4 linked regions of the Drosophila melanogaster genome follow. The protein of the gene in region 4 interacts with the protein of the main gene of each other region in a pairwise test. Each region holds a gene or a part of one and is shown on either strand. Other genes may lie near its edges.

Region 1 (6,323 bases), on a different chromosome or scaffold from region 4:
TTGCCCCACACAAGAGGAAGAGGAAGCAGCAACACAACGCTAAGCGACCAGGGCTGCCGCAAAGCGAGCTGCCCACTTGCCAAACTGGAGTACAACGTAATGGCATGGCGTTGAACGTAACCGGTAATACGACAGGAAATCGAAGCGAATTAAAGGTGCAAATAAAAGAAACTGCGTTTATAGCTACAATTTGGTTTTATTATACCCTGTGGCCTACCACAATATCCCTGTTTTCGCTTCACCCAATATTATGCAATATCCAATGCACTCGGCTAACGGCCTGCATTGCTGTTAGTGCCGCCCTGGTCGGGCCTTTTAAAACAGCTGATTTCGACTGCAGCTCGCCTCGAATTTCAAAACGATGCACGCGGTCACACACACATACACAAGTTAAGGTTCAGATTGATTTGAATACGCACCAGAGGAGATTGAAATGGAAACAAGAATTGTATTTTATTCCGCTATCTCTCCCACTTCTTGTTTCGTACGTTTCGTATGTTCACTACGCACTTTCCGCTCCGCGTGTTAACACGTACACAAGTGTGTGTGTGCGTGCGTGTGTTGTTATTGTTGCTTTGCTTTTGCTTTTGCGGGTTTCCTTGCACACACACTTTCGCACCACTACGCACCTCGAATCACTGCCTCTCGCTCGCACTCACTCACGCGCTGCTGGGCAGAACGTTACGAATATTATTTATCGGGTTTTTTCGCAATTGCACACACACTCGCTGCGTTATTGGTTGCACCGTACTTGCGCCGTTCACTTGTCTTGTCAATTAACCGCAATTAGTCAATTAATTGGAGCATTATACCGCCGAAACGAAAATCAAAATCGGTTACCAGACATGTGGTTCTACGGGTCCAAAAGAAAAAGAGCAGGGTTGTTGTTCAATTCGTTTGCGTTGCGTTGCGATAGATATCGACCGATGTGATAGCTACGGTTAATAGAGATGTCCCAACCGGCTCGCAACTGATTTAATTTATTTAATGTTGTTTTTAAATATGATTTTGAAATATCTTCCAGAAAGAATTACTTTTCGAGAACAAACTTATTTTTTCCCCATTTACCACTTGATTTGAAATTGAAAATAGGACATTCAAATTTATGCGGCTTATCGATTTCACACTACTTAAGTGCTCGGAATATCATTTATTTTTATCAGAATTTATTTTTATTTAGTTTTATCAGAATTAAATATATATGTAATTTTTCTTTTTCTAAAATTTACAACGTGATTAACATAACGTAAGCAATAACGTGACGTGGCCCTCGTTTTTTAAACATTTGAAACAAATGTTTAATGTCAGATAAGCATTTTTTGTAAAGTGAGGTACATATAGATCTTTGTTTGGTTTTTCCCGTTTTCAAACAAATTTACTGGTTAAACATTTTCCAATCCATTTTTAATTGAAAGCAGCAAAACACTTTTAAAGAAAAACTGGAAATAATTATATTTCAATTGCACATTCACAAAAAGTAGTGGGTCCACAACACAAAGGGTCAGTACAGCTACAAATGTAGGGGTTAAACATATGTGGCTTCAGCCAGAAGGAGCACAAATGGGTTAAGGGTTCGGATTTTGATCCGACAAAATACCAGAAAATTTTAACTTAAGTGCTAGGGTTTGTTTTGTTTTTCTCAGGCAGATACTAAAATGGAATTCTTGAGACGGTGCGAGCCAGTTAGCCAGATAGTTGGGGCGCCTACTCCACGGTCACCGACTTGGCCAGGTTCCTGGGGCAGTCCACGTCGCAGCCGCGGAGCACGGCGATGTGGTAGGACAGCAGCTGGAGCGGAATCACCGTGAGCACGCCCTGCAGGCAGTCCACGGTCCTCGGGATCTGCAGCGAACGCGTGGAGAAGGACATGGTCTCGTTGTCGCCCTCCTCGCAGATTAGGATCGGTCTGCCCTTGCGGGACGTCACCTGCTGCAGTGCATTCATGCACTTGGTGTACACCGGATCCCGCAGCACGATCATCAGCACGGGCATCTCCTTGTCCACCAGGGCCAGTGGTCCGTGTTTCAGTTCTCCAGCCAGGATTCCTTCGCTGTGCATGTACGTCAGCTCCTTGACTTTCTGCAATGAGCAAGTTAATTGATTAAATTCAGCTCATGAAGCGTGGGACAAACATAATAATTAATTTAAGTGCACTTGGCAAATAAACAAGTTAAGTGAATTGTTGACATCGGTTATTTTCCATCATTACGTTCCCATGCATGCATTACGATGCATAAATGAGATTCGATTAAATTATAGCTCAAATTATCAAATGGATTACCAGTGCGCCCTCCAAACAGGTGGCGAAGTTGAAGCCCCTGCCCATAATGAGCAGCGACTTGTGCTCGTACAACTCCTTGGCAAGCTGCTGCACCTGCGAGTTCAGCTTGAGGACAGTCCTAATGTGCTCGTCCAGCTGCGATAGGCCATCGATGATCTCCAAGCGGCGCTGTTGCAGCGAGAGACGATCCTCCGACATGACCAAGGCGAACATAACCAGCGAAATGAACTGGGAGGTGTAGGCCTTCGTGGAGGCCACTCCGATCTCGGGTCCAGCGTTGATGTGGACGCCACAGTGCGACTCGCGGCAGATGCTGCTGCCCACCGTGTTGGTAACGCCCACGATGAGCGCTCCTCGCTGCTTGCAGTATCTGAGCGCCATCAGGGTGTCCGCTGTCTCGCCCGATTGGGAGATGAAGAAGCACACGTCGTCCCGGAAAATGGGCGTGTTTCTGTCCAGAAAATCGGAGGCCAGTTCCACCATAACGGGCAGTTCGGTCAGTTCCTCCAGCAGCTGCCTGGTGGCCACCGCACTGTGGTAGGATGTGCCGCACGCAATTAGCATCAAGCGGCGGCAGCGCTTGATCTCCGGTATGTACTCCTTGATGCCACCCAGAACCACGGTCTGCGTATCGAACCTCATCCTGCCGCGCATGGTGTTGACCACGGATTCCGGCTGCTCGAAGATCTCCTTCAGCATAAAGTAGTCGTAGTTGCCCTTCATGATCTGCTGGATCTCCATTTTCAGCGTGATGATCTCGCGGGCGTGCGGATCATCGGATGATTTGTTTAGGCGATGAATGCTGAGCGTGCCATCGCTCTTGACGGCGGCCACGTCGTCATCTTCCAGGTAAATCACCCGATTCGTGTGCTCTATAACAGCCGATGCGTCCGAGGCGAAGAAGTACTCCACTTCCTTGCGCTCCAGCGGTTGAAACTCGGCGTTGCAATCGCCGGGCGGCAATAGTTGATAGGCCTGCTGCTGCGGCTGACCATGTGGCCGATGGGCCTTGGCGTACAGGATGGGTATGTGATCGGTGGCCAGCTTGGTCTTGGCCTTGATGCCCACCAGAAGCGGTGAGCCTCGCCTGGAGGCCACGCACTCGCCCGGGAAGTGCTTCGACTTGAAGGCGATGGCGAAGGCGCCCTCCAGCTGCTGAATGGCCTGCTCCACGAGCTCGCCGAAAGTGTAGCCAGGATGCTGCTGCCACAGGTGGTGTACCAGCTTGGCAATCACCTCCGTGTCCGTGTCGGACTCAAATACATATCCGCGCTTCTCCAGCAGCGTCTTCACATCCTTGTAGTTGGTTATAATGCCATTGTGCACCACCACAAAGCTATTATCCTCATCGGATCGCTGCGGATGCGAGTTGACCTCGGAGGGCACACCGTGGGTGGCCCAGCGCGTGTGTGCTATGCCTATGTGGGTGTCGATGGGCAGCGAGTAGTCCTGGCCGCGACACACCTCCGCCACCGCATCCTCCAGCACCTTCACCTTCCCGGTGCGCTTCACCAGCATTATGGACTGTGCCTCGCCAGAGTTCAGCGCATCGATGGCTATGCCCGTGGAGTCGTAGCCGCGGTACTCCAGCCGCTTCAGTCCCTGCAACAGGAGATCCAGGACCTCCTGTCGCGACTTGGGCGTCAAGTAGTTTAGGTACGCGAATATGCCACACATTCTGAAATGCGATTGCTTTTGCTGAAATTTGCTGGTGATTCGTGGTTTTCCACGTCGCAATGTTAACTTTCCGGTCAGCTGAGGCTGATCTTACACTTCTGAGGCGGCTGCAATGCGATTGTCGTGTTTTTATCGCGACACTGGCTGGAATTTTTTTTGTTTTTCTCTGATAAACCAACCCAATTATTTGCTTTTTCGGCGAAAAGAACACGTCTTCGCCCTGCTCTCCCGCTCGCACGCACACACGCGCCGCTCTTGCGCTCTCGCTCACGCACACAGCTACAGCCACACGCGAGCTGCCATGTAAACATTGGCTTTGTGTGACCGTATTGCAGCCAGGGATGGAACGGTAATTTAATAAATTATTTTTTTACTATGTATTGAATAATATAATAAACTTTTAAAGCTATATACAAAGATGTTAACTGTGTAAATTGTCTGAAAAAGCTTAATATAATATGACCATAAAGGCCAGATCTCATTTCATAGTTGGTTTAAACGACATTCTGTTTTTCCCAAAAATATGAGCATTGAAGATAATATTTTCAACCCATGTTCTAAAGGTTTTGGAAGTTATACCAAAAAGCATAAAATGATTATTGGTTGCTGAGAGTAATCAATGGTGTATTTTGACTATATATAGCTCAAAGTTTACCGTTTATTTGAGCGTACATATGTATGTATTAACAAATTTAAGAAAATATATATATTAAAATTAATATATCGATACCCGAAAATATGCTAAGCATATTGCACATCGATATTTCTAACTGTATGTTTTTGACATCCCTAGTTCTGAGTAGAGCTGGCAACGCCGACATTGTGCAACTCGAAAACGGCGTGAAATACGTATTAAACAGCATTTATTGGCAGAAATCGGCGCATATAATGACGGTAAACAAACGCGACGCGGGTGCCACGCGACCGCGGTGCTTCTTTGACATTTCCCTGGGCGGCCTGGGCATGGGCCGCATTGTCTTCGAGCTCTTCAACGATGTGGCGCCCAAAACGGCCGAAAATTTCCGCGCACTCTGCACGGGCGAAAAGGGATTTGGCCTAATCACCGGCAAGAAGCTGCAGTACAAGGGTGTGATATTCCACCGGGTGGTCAAGGACTTCATGGTCCAGGCGGGCGACTTCTCTGCGGGCAACGGCACCGGCGGCGAGTCCATCTACGGCGGGACGTTCGAGGGTGAGTTCTTCCGGCTTCCGATTCGATGCCTGCATGCATACATACACGCTTGTGTGTGTGTGCTGCTGTTTGTGTGGGAAAAAATCAATACAGTGGTTATCTGATAAGAAGAACAGAAAACGAAAGGGAATATACAGGGTACTTAAAGTGCAATTAATAAAGAGTCAGTAGGGGGAGAAATGTAATAAAAACACTGTAAATACAGACACCCACATTTGGAGATTTAAAAACTTCCAGCCAATTACATCTAAACTGCACTACAATAATCTACTTAAGTTTAATCTTTGTCGAAAAAAATTAAAACGCTTTTGATATGCCAGCCAAAGTGTACAAATGCCCCATTTAAATGTCAAAAATAAATGTTTACTCAAGCGACTCAATTTAAATTTACATTTTGGCAAATATTTCCATTAGAAAGATAAGGGAATGGTGCACATCATACATCTACATATTGCTAATTATACGTTTGGGTGGAAAATGGGACAAATATGCAAATAGAAGCGGCTTTGGGAAATCCAATTACATGCGCATTAAAAAGTTATCTAGAAGATAACTTGAGTTGCTCATCTCTCTTGGGCTTTAAAGTAACATTTAAAGTGAATTTGGTTTAAACAATCCGATTCCTCTTTCCAGATGAGAGCTTCGAAAAGAAGCACGATCGTCCCTTCCTGCTGTCGATGGCCAACCGGGGCAAGAACACAAATGGCTCGCAGTTCTTTATGTAAGTGCTCTCGACGGAGGACCGTAACCGGCTGGTCCGGACTAACGTGGCCGTAAATTTAGTTTCAGTTCTGTTTCAGGCACCGATATTACAGCTAAACTCTCTTCGTCTTCTTTTTGATCTATACTTAAACCACTGTTGTTGTTCATTAATCTATTGCCATTTAGCCTTAGCCCGTGGGCGTTAAAGTGTGAGCTAGCGTCCCACTGACCAGCGGACAGATGCATCGCAATCTGTCCTCCATCGGCCGATGCACCGCCATCCCAGCATCCCTAGTGCATTTGGTCTGTGGGTCCAAAAACCAAGCGAAAGACGATGCAGGTCTTTCAGCTCCATGGTCTTTGGTCCCTGGGCCTGGGTCTCAGTGTGTGTCTCAATCTCTCTCTCTCTCGCTGTCGGCTCCTTGTGGATCTTTGCGGGAATCTTGGGCTGGATCCTCACGATGGATCTGC
Region 2 (5,875 bases), on a different chromosome or scaffold from region 4:
AACAAATAGGAGAAATATTAATATGTGTTAAGTCGACAAATAAAATGTTGCCGCCGTGCCGTAAGTTCGAAAATATTATTTCGACCCTGCGCCCAGATTTACCTACGCCGTAGATAATGCTCCAAAAACCAAAGAAACCCAGCATCTGTATGAACCACTGCATTTATATGTAAATGTATATATTGTACCGCCAGCTTATAACAGTAGTATTGTGCTCCCGCTATCTCTCACATGTCAATCGTTTAAATGTCAAGCGCTGAGAAGCAGCAGTTGTAAGAAACTCGCAACCGTCGTGGACGTGCGAGTTGACTTAAAAGCACAAATGTGCAAGTTATCCAACCCGTAAATATAGCACTCTGACCCAGTTGATAAACAAATTTAAAACTCCAATCTCATCAGCATTTCCTTTGTCCTCGTTTAGTCGCCATCACTTAGCCACCCGATGAATAACCAAACTTAAAGTAAACACTAGTCAACAAATTTGAATTTCACAATGCTGTGAAATAATTTCAGTATAAAGCTTTTACCCTAAACATATTTTACAGTTCAAGAAAATCCTAAAGAAAAGCTTCTGGCCAAGGTTGAGTGGATTAGGATTAATATTTAGAAGATCAGTCTGAATCGGGACGAGATCGTGAACAGTTTTAAATTTAAGACAAGAGATAAAAAGAATGTCTTGTAATAGTATAAGTGAAAAGGTCTATCATGAATAAAATATTAAATTATAATAAAATAAAAATTTTTTGTTCAAATAATTAAAAAGGAACACTTTTAATTTGCACAAAGATTAATATTGTAAACCATTAACAATGAATATAGATTTCAGTGATTTCATAGCTTAGCGATTGGAGATCCAAGCGAACACTCGAAAACCGTGTTGTCTGAACACTCTGAAATATTTTCCCTACGACCAAGTGAAGTTGAGGTTGCCATTTGGAGTCCACAAGAGTCCCATAGGCATTTAGAGAGATTTAAAGCTCGGCTTAACTTAGCCTAATATAATTTCGGTTAATGATCAACATAACCTAGCTGTAACCTGCCGTCAGAGTGGGCGTGGCAAAGAGTTTTGTGGCCAATCCATAGAAATTTTAAAGCCTAATAAAAATATGAAAAAATGAGTGTGCGTCTTTATCTCTAGAACCTGTATGGTTAATTTCAACCTTCTAGCTTTTATAGTTCCTGAGATCTCGACGTTCATACGGACAGATGGACATGTCCGCTACTGATCCTGATTAAGAATATATATACTTTATATAGTCGGAAACGCTACCTTCTGGCTGTTACATACTTTTCAACGAGTCTAGTATACCCTAGTATACCCAATTTCTTAGCAATATGATAAAATAAAATAATAATTACGAATTTACACCTTGAATATATCACCTAAAGTACGATATTGCAACAAAACGACTTTAATTAAATATATAAACTAGGTTATATAGCGAAACTTTCAAAAAATAGAGAAGCTCGGCGTATAGTCAGCTTTAATCAAACGGATAATAAAATAAAATAATAAAATTTTAAATTAAAACATAACTTTTCCAAAAAGAAGTCATTACATTGAGGAAAAGATATTTCACAAAAATAATAAGTAGTAGAAAATAAATATTTATAAAATGAATAAAAATATGAAAACTTTTTATTGCAAAAGTCATATCTTGAGACACGAACACGTTTATTGCAACAATGATTGCCTTATTAATTTTTCACAAGGGGCAAGTGAACGCCCTAATAACCTTTGTTCTAATATAGTCATCTTTGAAATTTATTTTGTGATATTATGTACATATATATTCAAATAATAATATAGTTAAGGCAAAGAAACTAGACACTAGGGTCTTTGGTTAAGGCCATGCAAGCCAAGAATTTTTTACATGTTGCCAATTAAACAAAGATAATACAGATGTAAAGTCTATGAACTTGTAAATTGTCAAATTTACAATGCATTACCATACAGTTGTCGGCTGTCACTGTATGCGTAGAAAAGAACTGCTGAGCCACCTCTGGAGCCATCCCGATAAAATTGTGTGCAAAAAATTGTATGGCGTTACGCATCTTGTTCTTCAAATGTCTTTGGCTTAACCTCATATAAGCTGCAATGACCACTTGACCGGTTCCATGTGACCTCATTTTAACGGATTATAAAACTACATCATAAATATGGCGCAACATTTAAATTGCCAGACTTGAGATTGTTACATAAATCTGATCCGCAGCAATTGTAAATGTTATTTTTATTGTATTTGTGCGCTTGCAAATTTGATTAATCCTATCCAAATACCCTTTCAGTAATTACAAAAACATATATGTCTACTTAGCACCCATAGTGTTAAAAAACGAAACTTTTATTTATATTCTATTTTGGGTGTTTAATTTTCAAGCAGTTCTTAATGCAGCTATATGATATAGTCGTCCCATATTAAATAAAATTAAAATAAAATGTATATATTGTTAAAATATCGGATTTCGGATAGTTCCGAAGATATGTATAAAAATGGCTTTATGTATTCAATGCAATGGAATATAAACTTAAATTTTTTGTATAAAATATACGTAAATTTTTAAGGTATTTTAATTCACTATAGGATACGTTTAATAAGCCTAAGTCCTTTTCTACTCACCATACATATACCGAACGACAAAATCGACACGGTTATCCCAGGAATAAGCCATTATGACGGAATTTGTTTGGAGCTTATCCTCATAAAATGTAAATAGCTAAAAGTAGAAATACCATTACTATCTGAACTAATAAAAGTCTATAAATAAATTAAAATTTTTTGGTATCTATAAATAGTACTTTTAGGTAAAAAGTTCTTGAATAGTAAATATGAGCTCCTTACCTTCGGAATAGCTTACTTCAGACTAACTAAATTTGCTAAACCTTTTGCCAAAAGTCGTACACTTTGGCAACATTATTTACATGGTATGTATCTAAACATTATACATACAAATGTGTATTGTATAGAAAGTGCATTTGTATATATTTGTTCTCTTTCAAAAGGTAGTTTATTTTTAATTAGGAGTTTCCATTGTACTAAATGTAATTATTGTATTAAGTAAACTATAGCACTGTTTTGAAATCACAATCAATAACAATTCAGTTTTCTACTACCAAATATTAAGCCTACCTGTTACAATGTTATTCGTGAAAGTTTCCATATAGATTATGCTCTAATTAACCATTTAAAATGGAAAAAAAGCGAACAATTCACCCCTATTTAATTTTGTATTTGAACACTAATAGTAAAATATATCAAAAATCATTTTAACATTTAAAGAATTGATAATTAATTGACATGATTATTAATAGAAAAATATTTACTATTTTTGCAAGCTTACACACATGTATATTCACAAGTATATATTTATAGTACATGCATAACCTATTATAAAGCACACATTTTATAAAACTCACAATTCTTATTTTCGGTTTTATGTACATATACATATACATATATAGGAGATACAATATTCAACATTCAAATGTACAGTTTTATGTCTTATTACCATTGTGATCGGCGGTCTATAGTTGTCTATTACTGTTAAGATATAATATTATATAAAAACAATATATATACATATAAGAAAATATATATATGTTTTTATGCCCCATACGTGTAGAGTAAAATTAGATTCGTTGATTCTACGTGTAACGGGTATAATAATATAAAACAAGAGAGAAGGCTATAGTCGAGTTCCCTGATTATCAGATACCAGTAACTAAGCTAGGGTCAATGCTAACGCGAAAGTTCATAATTTTTCTGGAAAATCGATTGATATCGATTGATTGATTGATATTAGAAAAAAAATAAAATGAAAAAAAAATAAAAAATTGTTAAAAAAGTGTGGGCGTGACCGGTTTGGTGGCTTTAGGGCGTTTGAGTGGGCGTGGCAAAAAGTTTTTTGGCAAATCAATAGAAATATACACGACCAATAAAATTATGAAAAATATCTAACAATTTTTCAAAAGTGCGGGGGTGACCGGCTTGTCGGCTTTGGGGCGTTTGAGTAGGCGTGGCAAAATTTTTTTTTGCAAATCGATACATTGATCCTGATCATGAATATATATACATTTTATTGTCGGAAGCGCTTTCTTCTGCCTGTTTCAACCAATCTAGTATACCCTTTTACTCTATGAGTAACGAGCATTAAAAGAGTTGGACTATAAACTTAAGTGAGAACATCGTCTTTATAAGCTGCGAGTCTTTAGCTGTCGGCTGTGCTGTCCTTATTGGCAGAGGATCGACGTCGGCTTCTTGGAATCACAAGCGCTGGTGGGAGCGGAAACAATTGCCAAACACATTTTGGGAAATCTGCTTGGTGGCGCTGAGCTTGCATATTTGGGGTTTGTTACTCTATTACATTCTGTTGTAGACCGATGTTGAATTCATTGTTATTAACTTTAACTTTCTAATTTATGTAGGGAATGTTATTGAACTGAGGTAGCTGATGTTAACTTTTGTTTCCATTCCCGGTATAGGTCTAAGCTGCAAGTTTATGCTTCTCTTCCTTTGACTATAGGTGTGAAGGCCCAGGATGATAATCAGAGTATTGTCGAAGAGCGTCAGTAGGGTTATGCTGTTGGCCTTTTATGTATATGCAACGGTTCAGTGTTTCAAGAGATATAACCTCAGTCTTTCTTTTTCTTCATCTGTAAATTGTACAAGAGGCGAACTAGGAGACAGGGCTGTAGGTTCCAAGTTGGCGAATCCCCCTGTTGTCGATAATCATCGAGTCGTTTGATAGCTAAACAAAGTAGGTGAAGCTCTGTGAGGATCCAGGATATGATTCCATCGTAATCGTTTAATAGGATGATTCCGTCGTCGACCTCTTCCATTCTGGATAAGTTGTCGGAGTTGCTAAAACTACACAGATCTTTCTTTCCCAGAACTAAATTTGGAGAGCAATCAACTAATTTAATTAATTAATTTCTTATATTTACAATTTTTTTCTCATCGCATATTTATATATGTATATATAGGTAAGATTTTCGAAAGCAAAGATTTCTTGAAAGTCTAAGTTGTTGTAGTTCTGTTGTTTTTAACTATTGGTTTTACAATGATATCTTAGTATTTCTATAAAGTTTGCGACTTTTACGATGTACAAATGTGTTGTCTTATTATGTAGAATAGAGACCTCGGAAAACGCCATAGCTTCTTTCATCGATAGTAATAACATGTTGTTTCCCTTAAATATTCTTTCTATTTCAATTAATTCATCTTCATTTAGTACTAGTGTGTTACGACCTCTTGTCGCGCCCACTGGATGGCAGTTTCTACTTTTAGGAGTCTAATCTGGGTTTGTAAACTAAGAGCAATTTCTAAACGAACGGAACTGCCCTTTTGTATAGAAATTGTTAGAGCTTTAGATACTGTAGTCAGTTTGTTTATTCTTTCTTGTTTGTAAACAATGACTTGTTGGTTATTGTTGTCAATGAGCTCTGCTCTATTATGACCAGGTCATCGTGATCTGGAGTGGCCGCTATGTATTTTCACCTGGGACCTAGCCAATTTAAGAACTATTATTATTGATAATTACGTATTTCCCTTTTCTTTTTATTATGATTTCCGAGGTCTGGTTTCTGTTTGATAAGTCTTCAAAATGTGTTGTCTGGCTGTTTCGTTTTGGTCCGAGTTTGGGTCACTTTTCTGAATACTTCTAATGGTCGCTCCTTTGTAACTGAATAGAAACCGTAATTGTACTTATAACTTGTTCTTTCTAAAAGTTTTTGTAAATTTCTATCTGAACCTCCTCTTTTGAGGCATCTCAGTATTTCGGAAAGTGTCGAATGGAATCAAATGGAACCGTTCTATTTGAACGGTAACGGTGTGTCTTCGGTAGATTGTCTGTAGTTTTCAATAATATTGTTCAG
Region 3 (9,287 bases), 4.4 Mb from region 4:
CACGAAATTTGGCAATTTACGAACGGGGGAATTTTCCAATCAAAATTTGAATATTTTTTTAATTGAAAAATTATATAATGCTAATATACCGTAGGAGGCGCAACTGTTATAGGTAGTTGTTGTTATATAATAATATTACATTATAGTTATAATATTTATATATAAATAAATATAAATATATATATATATATATATATATATATATATAAATATTTATATAAGTAAATATACAAAATCCAAAATAAAAAGATATCTATAAATACTATAGTACTTATAGTACTTAAAAAAAGATTGATAATAATAGTTAAGGCGAAATTATCACAATCGTTGCTGTGTATTGGTATTAAAGGGTTTAGAAACAAACATTTTATCAAGGTAAAAATATTATAAGCATATTTTTACCAATGCATACTACAATTGCTGATTCTCCATACTTTTTGAAAACATTTTTTAGACCAGTTTCCATATGTGCGGATTTTAAAACCCTTTGATAACGAACTAACTTATTGTACATTAGTAGTTTCCCCACCCAAGTACCATTATGAATGACACAATTTTTATATAAATTATTTTTTTTTTATTTAAATACATAATTATTTATTACAAATACATAAATAAATAAGTTATGACAAACACTATTTTACAAGACAAAATCGGAACTCGGTGTACAAGATTCGCGTTACAATTAATATCAAAGAAGTGACAAGGTGACGCGACGCCAGTGCGTCTTCAATTGAGCAACAACTGTGAGTAGCTAATGAGTGGGTCAACAAGTGAAGTGAAGGGAAGTGAATCATATATATAACAAAATATAACAGGTATTCAAGGAGACATCCGTAATAACTAAGAGTGATAAATACGATGACGAATGCCACTATCGAAACGATTCGGTCGGTAGTTGGAATGCGAGAGTGTTGAAAGATGGCTTCGGTCAGAAGTGGAAAACGAACTCATCGGAGGAGGTGTCAACCGGAACGGATCCGGTGATATTCGCATGGTAGCCAGTCACCTCCTCCTTGTCAGTCTGCTGATCCGTTAATCATTGATAGCTCTGGGTGATCTGTTGGATCCAGGGCAGGTAGGCGGAGACCTTAACGTAGACGCCGGGAACGTTCACCTGACCACATCCAATGCCCCAGGACACCACTCCGACCACGTGCATGGCTCCATTCCGGTCGCACACCAATGGGCCACCGCCATCACCCTTGCAGGCATCCTTGCCCTCCTCTCCGCCGGCGCACACAAATCCGGGATTCAGTTTGTAGCTATAGCCCAGACGCGTGTTCCTCAGCTGGGACTCGCACTGTTGGTGCGATAGGATTGGCACATCCACCTCCTTCAGAATGTTCTGGTACTTTCCGTGCTCGCCGAAGGCATCCTTGCCCCATCCAGTTGTCCAGCAACGAGCTCCAGTGAAATCGGAATACTTGTCGGGCAGACAGGCGGGACTAATGTGCGGATTCTTGGTGAAGTCAACGGGTTGATCCAGTTTCAGAACGGCCAGATCATTGTCCAGAGTGCCGGCATAGTACTCGGGATGGATGTGCACGGAAACCACATCGCGTTCAATGTAGGGGAAGAACTCCACATCGTGGTTGACATCCCATTCGCCCAGACGCACACGAAGATCGAAGCCATTTTGACTGGATAGAAAGAAGCAATTGGTTAATGCTCTGGTGAAATATACTTTTATGACTCTAGAACTTACGATTTAATGCAATGGGCAGCGGAAATGATGTGCTGGGCATCGATGAGCGTGCCACCGCAGGCGTAGATCGACTCCTTGGGATCCTTCTTCAGAATGGCCACATGCCAGGGATACTCGCCGAACTCACTGTCTCCATCAACGTAGACGGGATTCTTGATGCGACCGGTGATTCCAGCGGCGTTCCTCACTCCACAACGACCAAATTGCTGGGGAGGAGCCTGGGGACGCAGTGGACGACGGCAGCAGACTTCGTTGATGCGGCAGGTCTTTTCCACGGGTCGGTTTCCATAATAGGCACGCTGGAAAATATCAAGGAAGGCAATCGCAATTAGATAAATGTTGGAGGAATGGGTACAATCTTATCTGGATTTGAAATGTACTTTGAATGCCATATAACTTTTCCTAATTACCATCAATGATTTAATCAATAAACAATTAAGAATATTTATAAAATGTGGGGTTCTTTGACTCTTAAAAAGTTTTACAAAATAGTTACATAATTTGGGACTGAACTTCTCATGAAATTTTTCAATTTTGTAGTTATGGACTTTAGTACTCTATTGACGCTTTCGAATGAACTTTAATGCTTTAGCCACACATGGTTACCTGCTCCTTAGGAGCTGCTCCCGCCCACACACCATCCTCAACGCTCCTGCGCCTGCGATCCCGTGGGAAAGTGATCCGATCACTGCCAGCTGCCTCACCAGGAGCCGGAGTGGGAATGTTGTAGAGGGGTCCCAGGTTCAACTGTTTGCCACGACGACCGGAATTCGATGGCCTGTCTGTATCACCACCGCTCACATTGGCACTTCGCTCCACATGCTGTGAGTACTCGCCATAGCCCCCGAAATCGGGACTGGATCCGGGATATATAGAGTTGAAGGAGCTCTCGTAGGGAGACGATTCGTGGTGGTGATGATACTGAACAGAAGGCCCACTGTGATACTCAAATATGGGAGTACTTGGGACCATTTCCACACTGAAATGGAGACCCGGTCCAGTTCCTCCATAGAAATGCGGATACGAGTGGTGGTCATGGTGATCGTGGTGGTCATGGTGATCGTAATCGTGGTGCTCATAGCCACTATAATGATCGTGATGGTGGTAATGTGTACTATACGCTTCGGTGGGCTTCCGCTTAAAGAAGTCTCCCACTTTCTGAATGAGATTCGCATTGGGAGTGACATGCAGATTGACCAGTGGCTTCACCACCTTCTCGCCATATTCTGTTTTGGCCACCTGCACCGATACCAGAGGATTCACATTCACCAGACCCAGATTCAGACCATTTGGACCCACCGAACCGAAGTACGGGTTTTGAGCGGGCACATGATCACCCAGAATATTCGAGGGATAACCTCCATACCCGCCAGTGGGATAGGGCAAACCAAAGCTGACACCGTAGGTGGGCAGCACTTTGCGTTGGATCAGCTCGATGGCCTGGAGAGCGGGCAATGCCAATGGAGATCCTCCGAGCGGGGACTGTCTCTATTTGTTGGTAAGGGGAAAACATAAGAACGCTAGAGGTGGAGTTCCATTTCTGATTGCCGGTTGCAGGTTGCATGTTTCGGGTTGCAGGCGTGCGATCACAAAGGTCGTGCTTGGTTAGCTGGTTTAGTTCTGGGATTAGTGACTGGTCTAATCGGAACCGATTTGCACTCTGGTATTTTAGTTGAGCTTGGAGCGTTGAACGATGGGTGCAGTTGTCAGATTGGTTTGATTTGTTGATTGACTGATTGATTTGTTGTTTGATTTGAATGTGTGTGTGTGTGGGAGGGAGGAGCTTGGCTAAAACTCGATTAGTGGTCCATGTGAACCATGTGTGATTTGGCATTAGTTGGGCACTACTTAAACTAATAGACTTCTATGGACTTACCCCTTGAGCATCGAGTGAGAGATCGCTTGCTTCGTCATCCTTTTGATCAGCCTGGCGGCGGGTGCGCTTCTTGTCATCCTTGTCCGCCTTCTCCTCGTCCTTCTTAGCCTCAGCAGTAGTGGTAGCATTGCTGGATAGAGCATCGTCACTCAGAGCCTCAATGTCCTTGCCCAGGTTGCGGGGATCAATAGGCAGAATGAGATCCTCCTTGCGTCCAATGCGATCGGCAGCGGGACACTGGGAGATGGGCACACACTGGCAGTCGACGATCTGCTGGCGCGAGGTGTCATATCCACTCTGGTACTGACCCTGACCCTGGTAACCACCAGAGATGCCATTGTACTGATTGGATGCTCCACCTTGCAGCTCCTTCTTGTAGTAGTCGGGATTCTGGCTGTGATAACTGGAGCTGGGCGATCCACTGAATCCTCCAGAGGAACTGCTGCCAAAGTTTCCTAGTCCTGAGTTGGGCTTGTAGAGATCTCCAGAGTTTGGTTTGTACAGATCTCCAGTGGGTTTCTGGGAGATTCCAAAACCGTTCTGCGAAAGAAGTCCACCCTGAGAAGCACCATTAAAGCCAGCATTGAAGGCATTGGACTGGGAGTAACTGGATCCGGAAGAAGTCTGAATGGAGGGAGTGTATGTGGCAGATGATTGGGCCAGGGCACTGAAGTCGGTGTTAATGGTCTGGCCAGCTCCGATGGGAATTGGCACACTGGGAACCTTTGCTCCCTCGCCACCTTCAACATGGTGATAATGATGATGCACATGTTGCTGCAGACCATCGAGCGGTGCTCCAACCACCACTTTGGTGCTGGAGGATGTGGCCGAGGCGGAAGAAGCTGAAGACTGCTGCGAGTAGAAACCATTGGGAGCAGAGCTTGCACCCTGGATGCCACCCTCGGGGTTCTCGTAGTTGTATGGAGGAACTCCATTCGAAGCACCAGTAAAAACGGGTCCAGCTCCCAGAGAAGGACCTCCGGTGTAGATGGGTCCTGGTGGCTTGCTGTCATAGATCAGGGCTCCGGGTGGTGGCTTCGTGTAGGTGATACCGTCGGATGAACCGTCAATGGCGGATGGTGGAGGATGCTCCAGGTAGCCACCGGGTCCAGATGGCCTGTAAGGTCCAGACATTGGCTTGTATGGTCCCTCGTATCCCACCTTCCTTGGCGGTCCAAAGGAGTTCACGGAGCTGGGCGGAGGTCCAAAGGAGTTCAGGGAGCTTGGCGGAGGTCCGTAAGATCCAGGAGGTCCACCCATTGGTGGACGACCACTGAAGTAGCTTGGTGGGGGCATGGGCTTAGCCGGACCATAGGGACCACCGCTGAAACCAGATGGTGGTGGGGGACCCTGGGCATAGATGGTCGAGTAGAAGGGACGCTTCTCCTCCACATCGCAGCTCATCAGTCCCAATCCACACAGCTTATCCCGGATAAGATTGCGGGCCTGCATATCGTTTCCCTGCTGCAGAGCCTGATCGATATTGCCATCAGCATAGACGGCATCGTATTCCCCCAGATTACGACCCTCACGGCGGGAGTTGATCAGCTGCTCGATGACCTCGTCAATCTGGGTGGTGCTGTTGCTCTGGATGGACTCGTGGACGAGGTAACGTCCCTGAATGTCAGCTTGTTCGGCGGGCTTGGTATCGACAGATCGGCGACTGGGCATGGCATCCTCCATGGGCGCCCACTCATTTCCCCAGTTGGATTCCTCGGCCAAGGAGGCGGTGGCCAGCAGTACAACTGCCAAAAGGCTAGTTCTTATTCTCATTGTGAAGCCTGTGAAATGATTAGATAGAAAAACTTTAGGATACCAATTCTCTAATATCTACGGATATATTAATCAAGTGATTGATTGACCATCTTTGTCGCCTTTTCTTTTGAGTGGAAAATAAATTAAGAGGTTTAGTCATGATTGGTTATGACATAAGTGGCGAGCTTGACACCATTACCCCAAGTCATTGTGCCAGTTTACATTTCTCCACCTAGCCACCGATCCCTCATACCATCTTTGGCTTAACCAATCCGTAACAAAACCGAATCCGAAGCCCAAACCGGTTAGCATCACGAAATCTTCACCGTGACTCAGACTCTCGTATAAGACTTTTACTTTCATTGGAGGTCGCAGACCGTAGCACTTAATTGCCTGATTTTGTACGTTACTTTTGCTCGAAATGCGAGTCGGGATGGCGAGGGGATCGCTGGCTTCAGGTCCCCGTAATTTATGAGGTAATTTTCCTACAGATTTAGCAAGCCTACGACTGCAATCCCACCGAAGACCATCGCTCAACTTGATCTCTCGCCCTGACAGCCGCTTTCCGCTTCGTGTCTCTTTTATTTGGTAAAATTCACTTTTCTTTTCAGCCTTTATTTTTATGGTCGTTTGCATTGCAGTTATGTCACCGGCTCACAGCGAGGGCGGATTTTGTAAAAGATCGGCTACACTTAACAAAAAAATCAATTATGAATGTAATATTGGTTTAAGGAGTAACTAATAGGATAGCCAGAATTATAATTTTGCCACTCGGAATTATATGCTTAAGTAAGAAGATATATTTATATTTTAAATGATTATGTAAACAGATCTGATTCATCTAGAGCGGCATTACACACTACAATTTCGAGTTATATTTTATTTTTTATGATTTTTTTCAAGTATATATTTTCCAGTTATGTAAATGTATCTTTGGATTTCTTTAGGCCTGCTTTTTCGGCCGGAAGTTGTGCGCAGCGTTGCATTGCAAATTGCCGGCAACTTTTTCGCTTGGATTTTCTTTGGCGAGAAGTGCTCGTAAGCGATGCTAACTGCCGTTTGGTTGGGTTTGGGAAATTTTTTTAGGTTTTTCCTTTGTGTTCGCAGTGAAAGTTTCGCTTGTTCGATTGGCTTAATGACGCGGAGGCTCTTGGCCAAGAGTTTTTATTAAGTGTATGTATGTAGGCATATTTGCAACAACCATAATTTCATGTGCTGCAGACTCATAATTCACATCTAATAGCCATTCATTTAAATTAGTTCGCTTTCGGTTCACTTGAGTTCACTTTGCTAATTTCGCTCACTTCACTCACCTTTTTTGTGTCAAGTTTATTAATCCAATTGGTTAGTTATCACTGTTGTCCGGATAATCCTTATGCAATTTACTGAGTCTCTTATCCTTTCACTTCATTCACTTTCTGCACCGATTGTGCTCTTCGATGCTCTGCAGATCGTTCACTGATTTCGCTTTCGTTGGCCGCGCACATTTTATACAAAAGCTGTGCATGCGCGCCGTCGACGTCAAGCTCCAACGTTTCGCTGTCTCTGTCTGCATTGATTCCGTCTTCTTCTAGCTTTCATACCGCCTTAGTTTGCGAATCGGTAGCCCAAAACAAAAGATACAAAAGCGGCGACGGCGACAATGTTTGGCAACCCCTCTTTTTCGCTGTTAGTGTTGATTTTTCGTCTGGGTTTTTTCCTCAAATCCCCAATTCTGCCCAACTACTGGAGGTCAGTAAACGAGGCGGAAATAGGCGGAAATATCACTATGATAGCTTCATTATCAGTAAGAAACCCAGAAACTATCATCACATTCAACACATCTCTTAAACATAACTGACTGTCTTAAACATCCAAATGGGGCTTTGTTTTTTTTTTTATGATTTTACCAAATTTTAAATAACCAAATTTAGCTTCCCGGAAAGGCGTTGCTTGAGAAACCGGGATTATGCAATTCTGCAATTATGAATTGGGTCAGAGAGTAGCAACCGCTGAATAATAAAAACATCGTGAAAAAGGGTAAAATTGGGCATTGCCTCAAACCGGATCTTTTGGCATACATTCATCTTTCCCCATTTTTTTTTTACTTCATACATCTGCCTCTCTTTTTGGTTGCAGTTCAGTTCAAATCGCCTGGTTTTTAACCCATGGTCAATGCAAACGTCATCGCTCGGTCACTCGTTTCATTTTCGTTTATTTTAACGTTTTTTTTATTTAACCTAGCTCACTGTGAGTAAAAAGCGCTTGGCGGAATTACCCGAAGTTCATAAAAATTAGAGACATTCCCCCCAAACTTATTCACGATGATCACGTTCGCGTGCCACTACCTTAAATCCCAATCATTATCAGGTTTGCGTTTGTGTTGTGTATGGTCAGTGCTGCCCGGCCGGAGTGAGTCTCATTGTGATTCAGTGGCTCCAGTGGCTTCCACTTGTGTTACTGACCTTGGTTCGATGTGCTGCAGTCGTTCATCTAGCCCCCACCTAAGTGGCGTTTTATGTTAAGCATTCCAAGAAAGTTGATAATGACCAACAGAGCTTCGAAAATTATGCTAATCACATTGATTTTTCTCGGGAGTTGTTATTGTCGCCACTCTGGGCTGTTTGCCAAACACCTTTTGGCTATTTGCTCGCGATTAATTCACGAAGTTTTTATCAATCAGCGTAGCGTGTGGCGTAGTTTTTGACCATCGGGTTTTTTATGACTCATACTATCGAGCACTTTGGGCTTTTCGAAGGAGGTGCGACGAACCTTATTTTGCATCGTTTTTAATTCCGTTTGGCTTACCTTTTTTTGGGGGTACATCAATAAGATGGAAATCGATTTTAATACATTGTTAATATAATATCTATAAAGGGTTTTCCGAATGTAAATATCAAACTTATTTAAATGTACGTTTCAGTAACTAATACATCTATTTTCGTTTGTTATACTCTGGTCTGAAAACTAGCATACATGATTAATAACTCATTAGGTCTTAAAAGCTTCATATCTTATTTAAATATAAATATTTAGATAACATTCAAACAACCTGATATTTGCAGAACAATATAAATAATGTGTTGATTTTATACGTTTTTATAAGTTTTAATTTAATCTCATCTATTACAGTGTATCTACGAATGCGGCTAATTGCTATCTACAATGATTTTCCTGATAAAAATAATTTTGGTAGTTAGCTGAAACTTGGCTATTGGTAAATCCCAGTGAGTGATGAACTGAACTTGAACTTGGACCTCGCCGGAGACAACTAATGCCAGGTGGACAGTTTGTAATCCGATGGGGTTACAGGTTCAGGGGCTTGTTATTGGATCTGCATTTCGGATTTGGTATATACTCATATCTATTTATGGTGCGCTCCAACATTTTGCACATTTCTTGGGCCGCACTATTACAACATAGCCTATGTTGATTATGGCCAACTTGTTAATTGTTTGTCCAAATGGATTTGTGTGGGAATCGTGTTTGCTCTACTTTGTTAGCTTCCTCCGACTGAATCACTCTCTCCTTCTCTTTCGCTCACCATACCTTTCTCTCTTATACCCCTTCGCACACCAAATTGTCGCAGTTCAAGTCCAAAAGCAATAAAAAAAAATAAATATTGTCACTGGCTCAAGGCTGAAGTGCCGACTCCCTGACTTAGATTTGTGTCAATTGCTCAACAAGTTGAGGTCTTCCACCCACACGCACCATTTGGCTAAAGACAATTTGCCAATCTCTTTAAGCCAACTACATACATCGTATATCGATTATGGATTTAGAGCTTAACTTTTGAGGGGAAATAAAATCAAAGCAGCACACAAAATTGTAGTAAGGCGATTGAAATTTAATAAGATAGTTAGAAAATATCTTTATATTATATTGGGTTTAGTTTAAGCTCCTTACATTAATTTATAATTATTAATTTGTTAATTTATATATTTTAATAAATTATGAATTTTGTTTTTT
Region 4 (9,204 bases):
AAACTACCACTGTCGGCCAGGAAACAACTTATGATCCTGAAGGGAGCACCACGAGAGAAGACGACACAACTGTTGCAATCGAGACAACTACCGAAAAACCTGAGGATGATACAACTGTAGAAGATTCAACACCGATTCCTGAGGAAACTACCACTGTCGCCCAGGAAACAACTTATGATCCTGAAGGGAGCACCACGAGAGACGACACAACTGTTGCAATCGAGACAACTACCGAAAAACCTGAGGATGATACTACGGCAGAAGGTTCAACACCGATTCCTGACACATCTACTACTGTTAACCAGGACACAACAACAGACGAAAGTAGCACTGTTGTGACTACGACGAATATTCCCAAGGAGAGCACAACGTTAGGCGATTCTACCCTATCACCGGGAGAAAACAGTACTGCAGGACAAGTTTCTACAAGTACCACGCTAGTATACGATACCACGAGTAGTCCAATTCCATCTTCCTCAAGATCCACAACCTTAGAACCCTCATCAAGTTCTTCCCCTGAAACCACAACTTCAAGTCTACCACCATTGTCTTGCAGTACCGGGTATCAATATTTACCCCATCCAACAAATTGTCATAAATATATTCACTGCAGCAACGGGCATGAACTAATTATGGAGTGCCCAGCTAATCTTTATTGGGACTATCATAAATTTGTTTGCAGTGGAGATTCAGGTGTTTGCTACAACGACACTGAAAATTCCAATCCAGAGGAGAAGGTTTGCGGACCTGGAGTGGATTTCCTTGCACATCCAACGGACTGCACCATGTATTTGCAGTGTAGTAATGGCGTGGCATTGGAGCGCAAGTGTCCAGATCCGCTGTATTGGAACCCGGAGATAAAGTCATGTGATTGGTCCAATAAATATTGCACAAATCTTCGGGCGAGTCAATCGATTTCTTGCGCAGCGGGCATGAATTTTAACGTTTTTCAAAGCGATTGCTCCAAATATGTCAAGTGTTTTGGCCTGAGAGGTGTTGTAATGAGCTGTAATTCAGGACTTTACTGGAATCCCGTTAGTCAAGTTTGCGAAAAGTCCCGGCGATTCTGCACATAAGAGTAAGTCCAATTAAAGTAGACAAAATTTTAATAAATAACATGCGGACACTTTTTTTCAGGAGCAGTGCAACGGCATTATTCATTGGACAATATTTACCTAAGAAATGAATAAAAAGATTGCGAATTATTAAAAATTTATTTATACTGTGGAAATTACAAATCGATTAATTAAAGTTAGCAAAATTATTAATATAATGAAACAGAAACTGAATGTTAAATTCCTATTGTTGTATATAAAAAAAAAAAAACACATTCAATCGCATTTTTATTTCACTGGGGTTTTTTTTTTAGATGATCTAAATAGATATTTTTGGATGCATGCAAATTTATTTCAATAGACTGAGACACTTTGGTAATGAACTACCCTATTGTTATAGAAACAAAAGGTAGTCTCAAATTCATCTCAAGGTGTTACAAAAAATTGGTCTCAATATAAATTCTTATTACGATGTAATAAAAATTTCATAGCACTTTATTCCCATTAAAATTGGAAAACAAGGTTAAAGATATTTTTAAGTGCAATTGTATCTAGTAAAATAAGTAATGGGTACACTGTAGCCGGATTATTTGCTTTCCACAGTTCCTAGGCCTTTTTCGTAGATCTTATCAATCTAGGTTTCAATTAAAAATATTACTAGCCTTGAAACACACCCCATACAGACGATGGGTATTCAAAAATTGAAAATTTAATGCTTCAGTTCAATTTAACACATGGTTTCATAGAAGCTCTTAGCAGATAAGGGTATAAAGCCGAATTCAACATTGAATGGGGGCTGGTAGAGACTGCTCTATATATAGATATGACGATGGGTAGTCTAAACAGAAAGCGAAAGCAAATAGTTAGTCTCAAAGGTTATCTGATTAAATTACTTCCGCCAATTTTTGATTTGTAGAAATAAATAAGTGGCTTGGGAAATCCAAAGCCCAATCGATAAAGCCTTCGCCAGATGCAAAGAGAGCACATACAAGTCAAGTGAATGAGTGTGGGCAGGGACACACTTGAAATGTATCCAAGAGATACACAATTGCGTATCTTTATATGCTAATAAATGCCAGTACATTTCCCTAAAATGGGTCAAAAGAGTCCCCCATCCGTTGGCATAGACTACGATGTTGTAATGCCCATAGAAACTCATTTGTCGAGGGGGACGTCAACGCGCCGCCCCTTCCATCGGCAGGCCAAGCCAGACCAAGTGATCGATTGACACGATCAAAGCGCTGATACGTAATGGAATAGACACTCGAATGAATAGCACTGGCGACGAGCTCCCAGCTCGGGCTCCAAGTGCCCTGATCCGCCTCACAGATACCAGCACTCTGCGCTGGTGTGGATCCTACATAAATATTCATGCTGGCCAAATGCAAATGTATTGGAAATTGCTCGCCTTCAATGAATTTGAGTTCTGCTCAAGCTCTAGAGTTTTGATGCTCGTACAGGGCAGCGTTATTCGCAATCCAGCAGTTGTCGCGATCGGAAGCAAATCGGAAAATCTCCATTGGATTCCTAGAACACGCAGCCGAAAAAGTATGTGCCTAGGATGTGTGCCCTCGCAGCAAGGACATAGAGCAAAAACAGCTCTCAAATACAAGGGATTAGTGAAGAAATAAGATAACAAAACATCCTATTAATTGTGCATTACGAAACGGATTACAACTTGTAGAGTTTTATTTGATAAAATTTAAATGTGAATTTCTATATGCAGTGAAATTGAAATCAACCAAAATACAGGACCTTATATCATTAGTAAATGGTCAAAAAGAACAATAAGTGTGTAAATTATAATGTGTGCAAACTAAGAATCTTGTACTAATCGAATCATTGACAACATCTAAACACAATTATGTGAAGATTAAATTTTCTTCCCAAATTTATTAAATATTTCTATATTCAAATATAAATATGTACATTCTGTAACAATTCATATTCGCCAGGATAATCACACAATTATCCTTTCGAAGTGTAAAGTGCTTATGTGACTTTCTTGTATTTTTTACATATAAAAATCAAAATAAAGATGTGAAAAGCGAAAGATATCAAAAAGGATATGTACATATGTATGATTTCAGACTACAAATTCAAACACGTTTGTGTCAAGAACTAAAATTCGAAACTTACATTAATCAGCCTTAGCGATTACATCACTCGCAAGACTGAAATATAACTCAAGATCGATTGCCTTTTTTTTGGCATCTAATAGCACAGCGTGCGTGCTCATTTTAAAGAAAAGTGATAACCTCTGAAAGTGACGGACAAGAAACACAGAGAAGGAGTATAAACTAATAATAACACGCATCTATATGGTGTATTGATAATACAATTCAATTTCATCTTACAGTTTGCTGGTTGTGTTGCCGCGACGTCGACGCCTTTCAATTGGATTCAGGGTTTAATTTATTGAAATGTTGCCCTTTCGCTTGGGCCTGCTACTTGGCGCCGTGCTATTCGTGGCAAGCGCAAATGGAGCTGCCATCGTAAGTTTCCGAATTGTTAATGAATCTCCCCGAGAATTGTTGCTTCTCTGTGTGTGTTGAATGGAACTAGAGTAGTGTAATGTAAATGAACTCGGTTCGAAAAGTAGGCGATAAGACATAATTTGACCAAGGTCAGTTTCTTACAAGCAGCATCTAATCGGGCACACTTGCACAGACCCTTTGAATGAATAAAGATTAGACTGACATTAGCATTGAATTTAAATCGATGTATTAACTTTCAGGAAAATGAGGTTTCTAGTCTGAACGACTTGCAGCGGGAAAAGAGAAGCGGCAGAGGCTAGTAAGTAGTTGGTTAACAACTATTTTGGACCAGATGGGCTTACTTCCTTTCCATGTTTATCCGCAGTTCGAGGGGACAAACCCAGTCTCAGTACTTAAATTTCGGTAAGCCTGAGGAGGATGGAAAGGCTGAGGCAGAGGCTACCGAAAATGGATCTCGCTCCACTGTGTGTGAGTACGGGTCAGATGAGATTCATTAGCACTTTGTCCATTGACCTCTTGACCTCTTTCAGCTGGCACCCATGGAATGGGTCAGGCTCAGAGCCAGTTCTCATCAGGGGACTGCAATGGATGTTCTGGCTACCAAACGGATTACCCTTCTTCAGGCAGAATTCTTGATGCTAGTGGATCCGGAGGCATCGGTAGACCCGATTCCATTATAAGCTTACCCGGAGGTGGTAAGTCGTATATAATCAAAATGTATACAGTTTGATATATGTTGCTCTCCCTGAAGTTGGCGGACAAACCGGAGCTGGACAAGCCGGATACGGAAGCCAACTTGGAGTTGGCGCTCAGGCCGGTGCCGGACAACCCGGATACGGTGACCAACCTGGAGTTGGCACTCAACCTGGAGTCGGACAGCCCGGATACGGAAGCCAACCTGGTATTGGCGGACAGACTGGAGCCGGACAGCCCGGATACGGAAGCCAACCTGGTATTGGCGGACAGACTGGAGCCGGACAGCCCGGATATGGAAGCCAACCTGTGGTTGGAGCTCAGACCGGAACCGGACAACCCGGATACGGTGCTCAACCTGGAGTTGGCACTCAGACTGGAGCCGGACAGCCCGGATACGGAAGCCAACCTGGTATTGGCGGACAGACTGGAGCCAGACAGCCCGGATATGTAACCCAACCTGGAGTTGGAGCTCAGACCGGAATCGGACAACCCGGATACGGTGCCCAACCAGGTATTCTTGGACAGACTGGAGCCGGACAGCCCGGATACGGCAGCCAGCCTGGTATTGGCGGACAGACTGGAGCCGGACAGCCCGGATATGGAACCCAACCTGGAGTTGGAGCTCAGACCGGAACCGGACAACCCGGATACGGTGCCCAACCTGGAGTTGGCACTCAGACTGGAGCCGGACAGCCCGGATACGGCAGCCAGCCTGGTATTGGCGGACAGACTGGAGCCGGACAGCCCGGATATGGAACCCAACCTGGAGTTGGAGCTCAGACCGGAGCCGGACAACCCGGATACGGTGCCCAACCTGGTGTTGGCGCTCAGACTGGAGCCGGACAGCCCGGATACGGAAGCCAACCTGGTATTGGCGGACAGACTGGAGCCGGACAGCCCGGATACGGAAGCCAACCTGGTATTGGCGGACAAACTGGAGCCAGACAGCCCGGATATGGAAGCCAACCTGGGGTTGGAGCTCAGACCGGAGCCGGACAACCCGGATACGGTGCCCAACCTGGTGTTGGCGCTCAGACTGGAGCCGGACAGCCCGGATACGGAAGCCAACCTGGTATTGGCGGACAGACTGGAGCCGGACAGCCCGGATATGGAAGCCAACCTGGGGTTGGAGCTCAGACCGGAGCCGGACAACCCGGATACGGTGCCCAACCTGGAGTTGGCGCTCAGACTGGAGCCGGACAGCCCGGATACGGCAGCCAGCCTGGTATTGGCGGACAGACTGGAGCCGGACAGCCCGGATATGGAACCCAACCTGGAGTTGGAGCTCAGACCGGAACCGGACAACCCGGATACGGTGCCCAACCTGGAGTTGGCACTCAGACTGGAGCCGGACAGCCCGGATACGGAAGCCAACCTGGTATTGGCGGACAGACTGGAGCCGGACAGCCCGGATATGGAACCCAACCTGGAGTTGGAGCTCAGACCGGAACCGGACAACCCGGATACGGTGCCCAACCTGGAGTTGGCACTCAGACTGGAGCCGGACAGCCCGGATACGGAAGCCAACCCGGATATGGAACCCAACCTGGAGTTGGAGCTCAGACCGGAACCGGACAACCCGGATACGGTGCCCAACCTGGAGTTGGCGGACAGACTGGAGCCGGACAGCCCGGATATGGAACCCAACCTGGTATTGGTGGACAGACTGGAGCCGGACAGCCCGGATACGGCAGCCAGCCTGGTATTGGCGGACAGACCGGTGGCGGACAACCCGGATACGGAAGCCAAATTGGCGGACAGACTGGAGCTGGACAGCCCAGCTATGGAAGCCAACCTGGAGTTGGAGCTCAGAATGGAGCCGGACAACCCGGATACGGTACCCAACCTGTTATTGGTGGACAGACTGGAGCCGGACAACCTGGATATGGAGGTCAAACTGGAGTCGGTGGATCGCCTGGATTTTTAACTCAGCCAGGTATTGGGGGTATAAGCGGACCGATTGGAGGGAAACTCGGTGGCGGACAATCAGAAGCCGCAAAACCTGGATATTGGGCTCAACCTGGAATTGGCGGACCATCCAGATACGGCAGTCAACCTGGAATTGGTGATCAGACCGGAACCGGACAGTCAGGATACGGCGGGCAGCCTGGAATTAGCGGACAGACCGGAGGCGGACAACCAGGATACGGAGGACAGGCTACAATAAGCGGACTCCCTGGGTATGGCACTCAGCCAGGAATTGGAGCACTAACCGCTGTTCCTGGCGGACATTATGGATACGAAACTCAGCCTGGAATTGGTGGACAGACCGGAACCAACCAACCCGGATTCGGTGGTCAACCTGGAATTGGCGGACAGACTGGAGCCGGCCAACCTGGATATGGATTTATAGGTCAGCCTGGTATTGGAGGGCAAACAGGAACTAGTGGAAGGCAACCCGGTTACGGAACCCAACCAGGAATTGGCGGACAGACTGCAGCCGGACAGCCCGGATATGGAAGCCAAACCGGAGTTGGCGGACAGATCGGAGCCGGACAGCCCGGATATGGAAGCCAACCTGGAATTGGCGGACAGACTGGAGCCGGACAACCCGGATACGGTGCCCAACCAGGTTTTGGAGGACAACCCGGATACGGAAACCAACCTGGAGTTGGCGGACAGACTGGTGCCGGACAGCCCGGATATGGAAGCCAACCTGGAATTGGCGGACAGACCGGAGCCGGACAACCCGGATACGGTGCCCAACCAGGTTTTGGAGGACAACTCGGATACGGAAACCAACCTGGAGTTGGCGGACAGACTGGAGCCGGACAGCCCGGATATGGAAGCCAACCTGGAGTTGGCGGACAGACTGGAGCTGGACAACCCGGATACGGTGTCATACCTGGATTTGGAGGACAACCTGGAATAGGCGGACAGACCGCCGCTGGAAAGCCCGGATACGGTGGTCAACCTGGAATTGGTGGATCACCTGTGTATGGAACACAGCAAGGAACTGGAGGTCAATCAGGAATTAGCGGTGGCCAACCCGGGTACGGAACTCAACCTGGACAAACCGGAGCCGGGCAACCCGGATACGGAAGCTTACCTGGAACAGGTGGTCAGGCCACAGCTGGCCAACCCGGATACGGACCCGGATCTCAACCCGGAATTGGCGGACAGACAGTTGGTGGGCACGGTGGATACGGTAGCCAACCCGGAATCGGTGGAGCGCCAGTTTATGGAACACAGCCAGGAGGTGGCGGCCAAACTGGAGTCATTGGAGGGCAGCCCGGACAGATCGGAGACAGAGTAGGACAACCAGGATACGGAACCCAGACAGGACAAATTGGGGCACCAGGTCGATATACAGATGGAAGTCAAACTGTACCTGGTGCTGTTGGCACCGGTGGAGTTGGTAAGTAGCTATCAAGGCGGTGGAAAACAATGTTTTGAATTGCTCGTTTCCCAGTTGCTGCCGGTACCAGCGGAGCTGACGATGCCTTCTCCCAAGCCGAGTCATCAATTGGCGACGGACAAGCGTCGGCAAGTGCTCAGGGCAAGAAGAATGGAGGCACGGCCAAGACTCAGGTGTCGGGAACTTACAGCTCCGGCGGAACCTTTAGCGCCAGTGCAATGACGTCCGATGCTGATCGTGCGGCCAGTGCACAGGTTACCGGAAATGCTGATGGAGCCGTGAGTCAGTCTCAGGGATCGGGAGGTCCTGCCCAGTCGCAGGCCCAGGTACAGGTTGCCAAGGACGGCGGCACCAAGGCCTCGTCGCAGAGCGGTGGCATCATCCAACAGAGCCAGAGCGAGGTTCACGCCAATGACAAGGGCGGCCTGGCGGACGCCCAATCGAGCGGACCCGGACAAACCTCCTCCCAGGCCCAGATCGGTTTCCGACCCGGCCAGGAGGCCAATCCTATAGCAGCTAATGGTGGCGGCCAGGCATCGTCCTCATCTGGCACTCATTCCAGTCAGAGTAGCTCGCAGATTCACGGAACATCGAGGTAACATTGCTATAGGATTATTGATTATTGACTTTAGCCACTCATTATTGGTTTTGTATTTCAGCTTTGGTGTTTCTTACCATGGTGCTGCACAATCCGCGTCGGGAACCAAAGAGCAGGTTGCTACTTACAGGGAAGCAAACAGGGAACTCTTCAATACCATCAGTCAGTTTGGCAACAACGCAAATGCGTAAGTAATCGGAAAAGTGAAGAAAGAAAGAAAAACATGTTTTGGGCTATTTAAAAAAAGGGATAACGTATGCTTCTGTGGTTTTTAAATTGGCAAAATATGTTCAAAATTGATTTCGAAAAGTCACACACTTTAGCTCAATCAATTTATTGTGATTTTATAACTGCCATGCCTTTATGGAATTCTTTAGCATAAAACGTATTCATTTTTGTATACTTTTTGAGGTTATTTATGTTGGATACATAAACGAATAAATCCTTTAAAATTTCTAACTACTTTTGCTTACTTACTTTTCAAATGGGAAGTGCGTGCCTCTGTAAAATTTATACGATTGTATTTTATTTTCTTTTCTTTAACTTTCAACTTCCAGTGTTACTGATCGAGCTGATGCTGTCTACAGTGGACCCGCGCTTACTGATGAGTCCGACAGGGTGCCAGAGGCGCAACTGAAGTCCACCAAGCCCAAGGAGGAAGCGGAGCAGGTAGTGAGTAAGCTAGACCACCCGGAGCCCGTTCAGTACGATGATGAAGATGAGGCCGATCCTGATGAATACGATGAGGATGAGTACTATGAGGAGAAGCCAGTGAAGCTAGAGGAATCCCCAAAGTCGTCCACCATAGTGGCACCAACCGAGGCAACACCTAGGCCCAAGACCTACAACCAGTCATCACCCACGCAAAGCCAACAGACAGTCGTGGTGCCGGTGCCGGGTGAAAAGTATCAGGTGGTGCAAAAGCAGAACGGTAAAGCCACCATCAATGCAGAGCCCTCGACCACCGAGGCCATACCACCGGGATTCCGAGGAACCGTA

The links.
Region 1: the proteins of prc (region 4) and Gfat2 interact in a two-hybrid assay, tested with the Drosophila melanogaster proteins (one large-scale study listed by BioGRID).
Region 2: the proteins of prc (region 4) and Scp1 interact in a two-hybrid assay, tested with the Drosophila melanogaster proteins (one large-scale study listed by BioGRID).
Region 3: the proteins of prc (region 4) and CG4998 interact in a two-hybrid assay, tested with the Drosophila melanogaster proteins (one large-scale study listed by BioGRID).

The regions. Positions count from the first base shown.
Region 1 is NT_033777.3:28,335,589-28,341,911, forward strand, and holds Gfat2 (Glutamine:fructose-6-phosphate aminotransferase 2), read right to left. Parts: upstream 4,178-6,323; 5' UTR 3,959-4,177; coding exon 2,282-3,958; intron 2,080-2,281; coding exon 1,705-2,079; 3' UTR 1,431-1,704; downstream 1-1,430. Other genes in the region: Moca-cyp, read left to right, coding at 4,847-5,150, 5,784-5,871.
Region 2 is NT_033778.4:2,964,474-2,970,348, forward strand, and holds the start of Scp1 (sarcoplasmic calcium-binding protein 1), read right to left. Parts: upstream 3,580-5,875; 5' UTR 3,511-3,579; intron 2,872-3,510; exon of another isoform or gene 2,844-2,871; intron 2,719-2,843; 5' UTR 2,674-2,718; coding exon 2,622-2,673; intron 1-2,621.
Region 3 is NT_037436.4:16,336,514-16,345,800, reverse strand, and holds CG4998 (uncharacterized protein), read right to left. Parts: upstream 6,799-9,287; 5' UTR 6,653-6,798; intron 5,366-6,652; 5' UTR 5,358-5,365; coding exon 3,585-5,357; intron 3,197-3,584; coding exon 2,315-3,196; intron 2,008-2,314; coding exon 1,709-2,007; intron 1,644-1,708; coding exon 1,040-1,643; 3' UTR 560-1,039; downstream 1-559.
Region 4 is NT_037436.4:11,959,452-11,968,655, reverse strand, and holds the start of prc (pericardin), read left to right. Parts: upstream 1-2,524; 5' UTR 2,525-2,603; intron 2,604-3,414; 5' UTR 3,415-3,478; coding exon 3,479-3,550; intron 3,551-3,792; coding exon 3,793-3,851; intron 3,852-3,917; coding exon 3,918-4,021; intron 4,022-4,083; coding exon 4,084-4,248; intron 4,249-4,304; coding exon 4,305-7,607; intron 7,608-7,661; coding exon 7,662-8,202; intron 8,203-8,266; coding exon 8,267-8,392; intron 8,393-8,762; coding exon 8,763-9,204. Other genes in the region: Muc68E (mucin 68E), read left to right, coding at 1-1,076.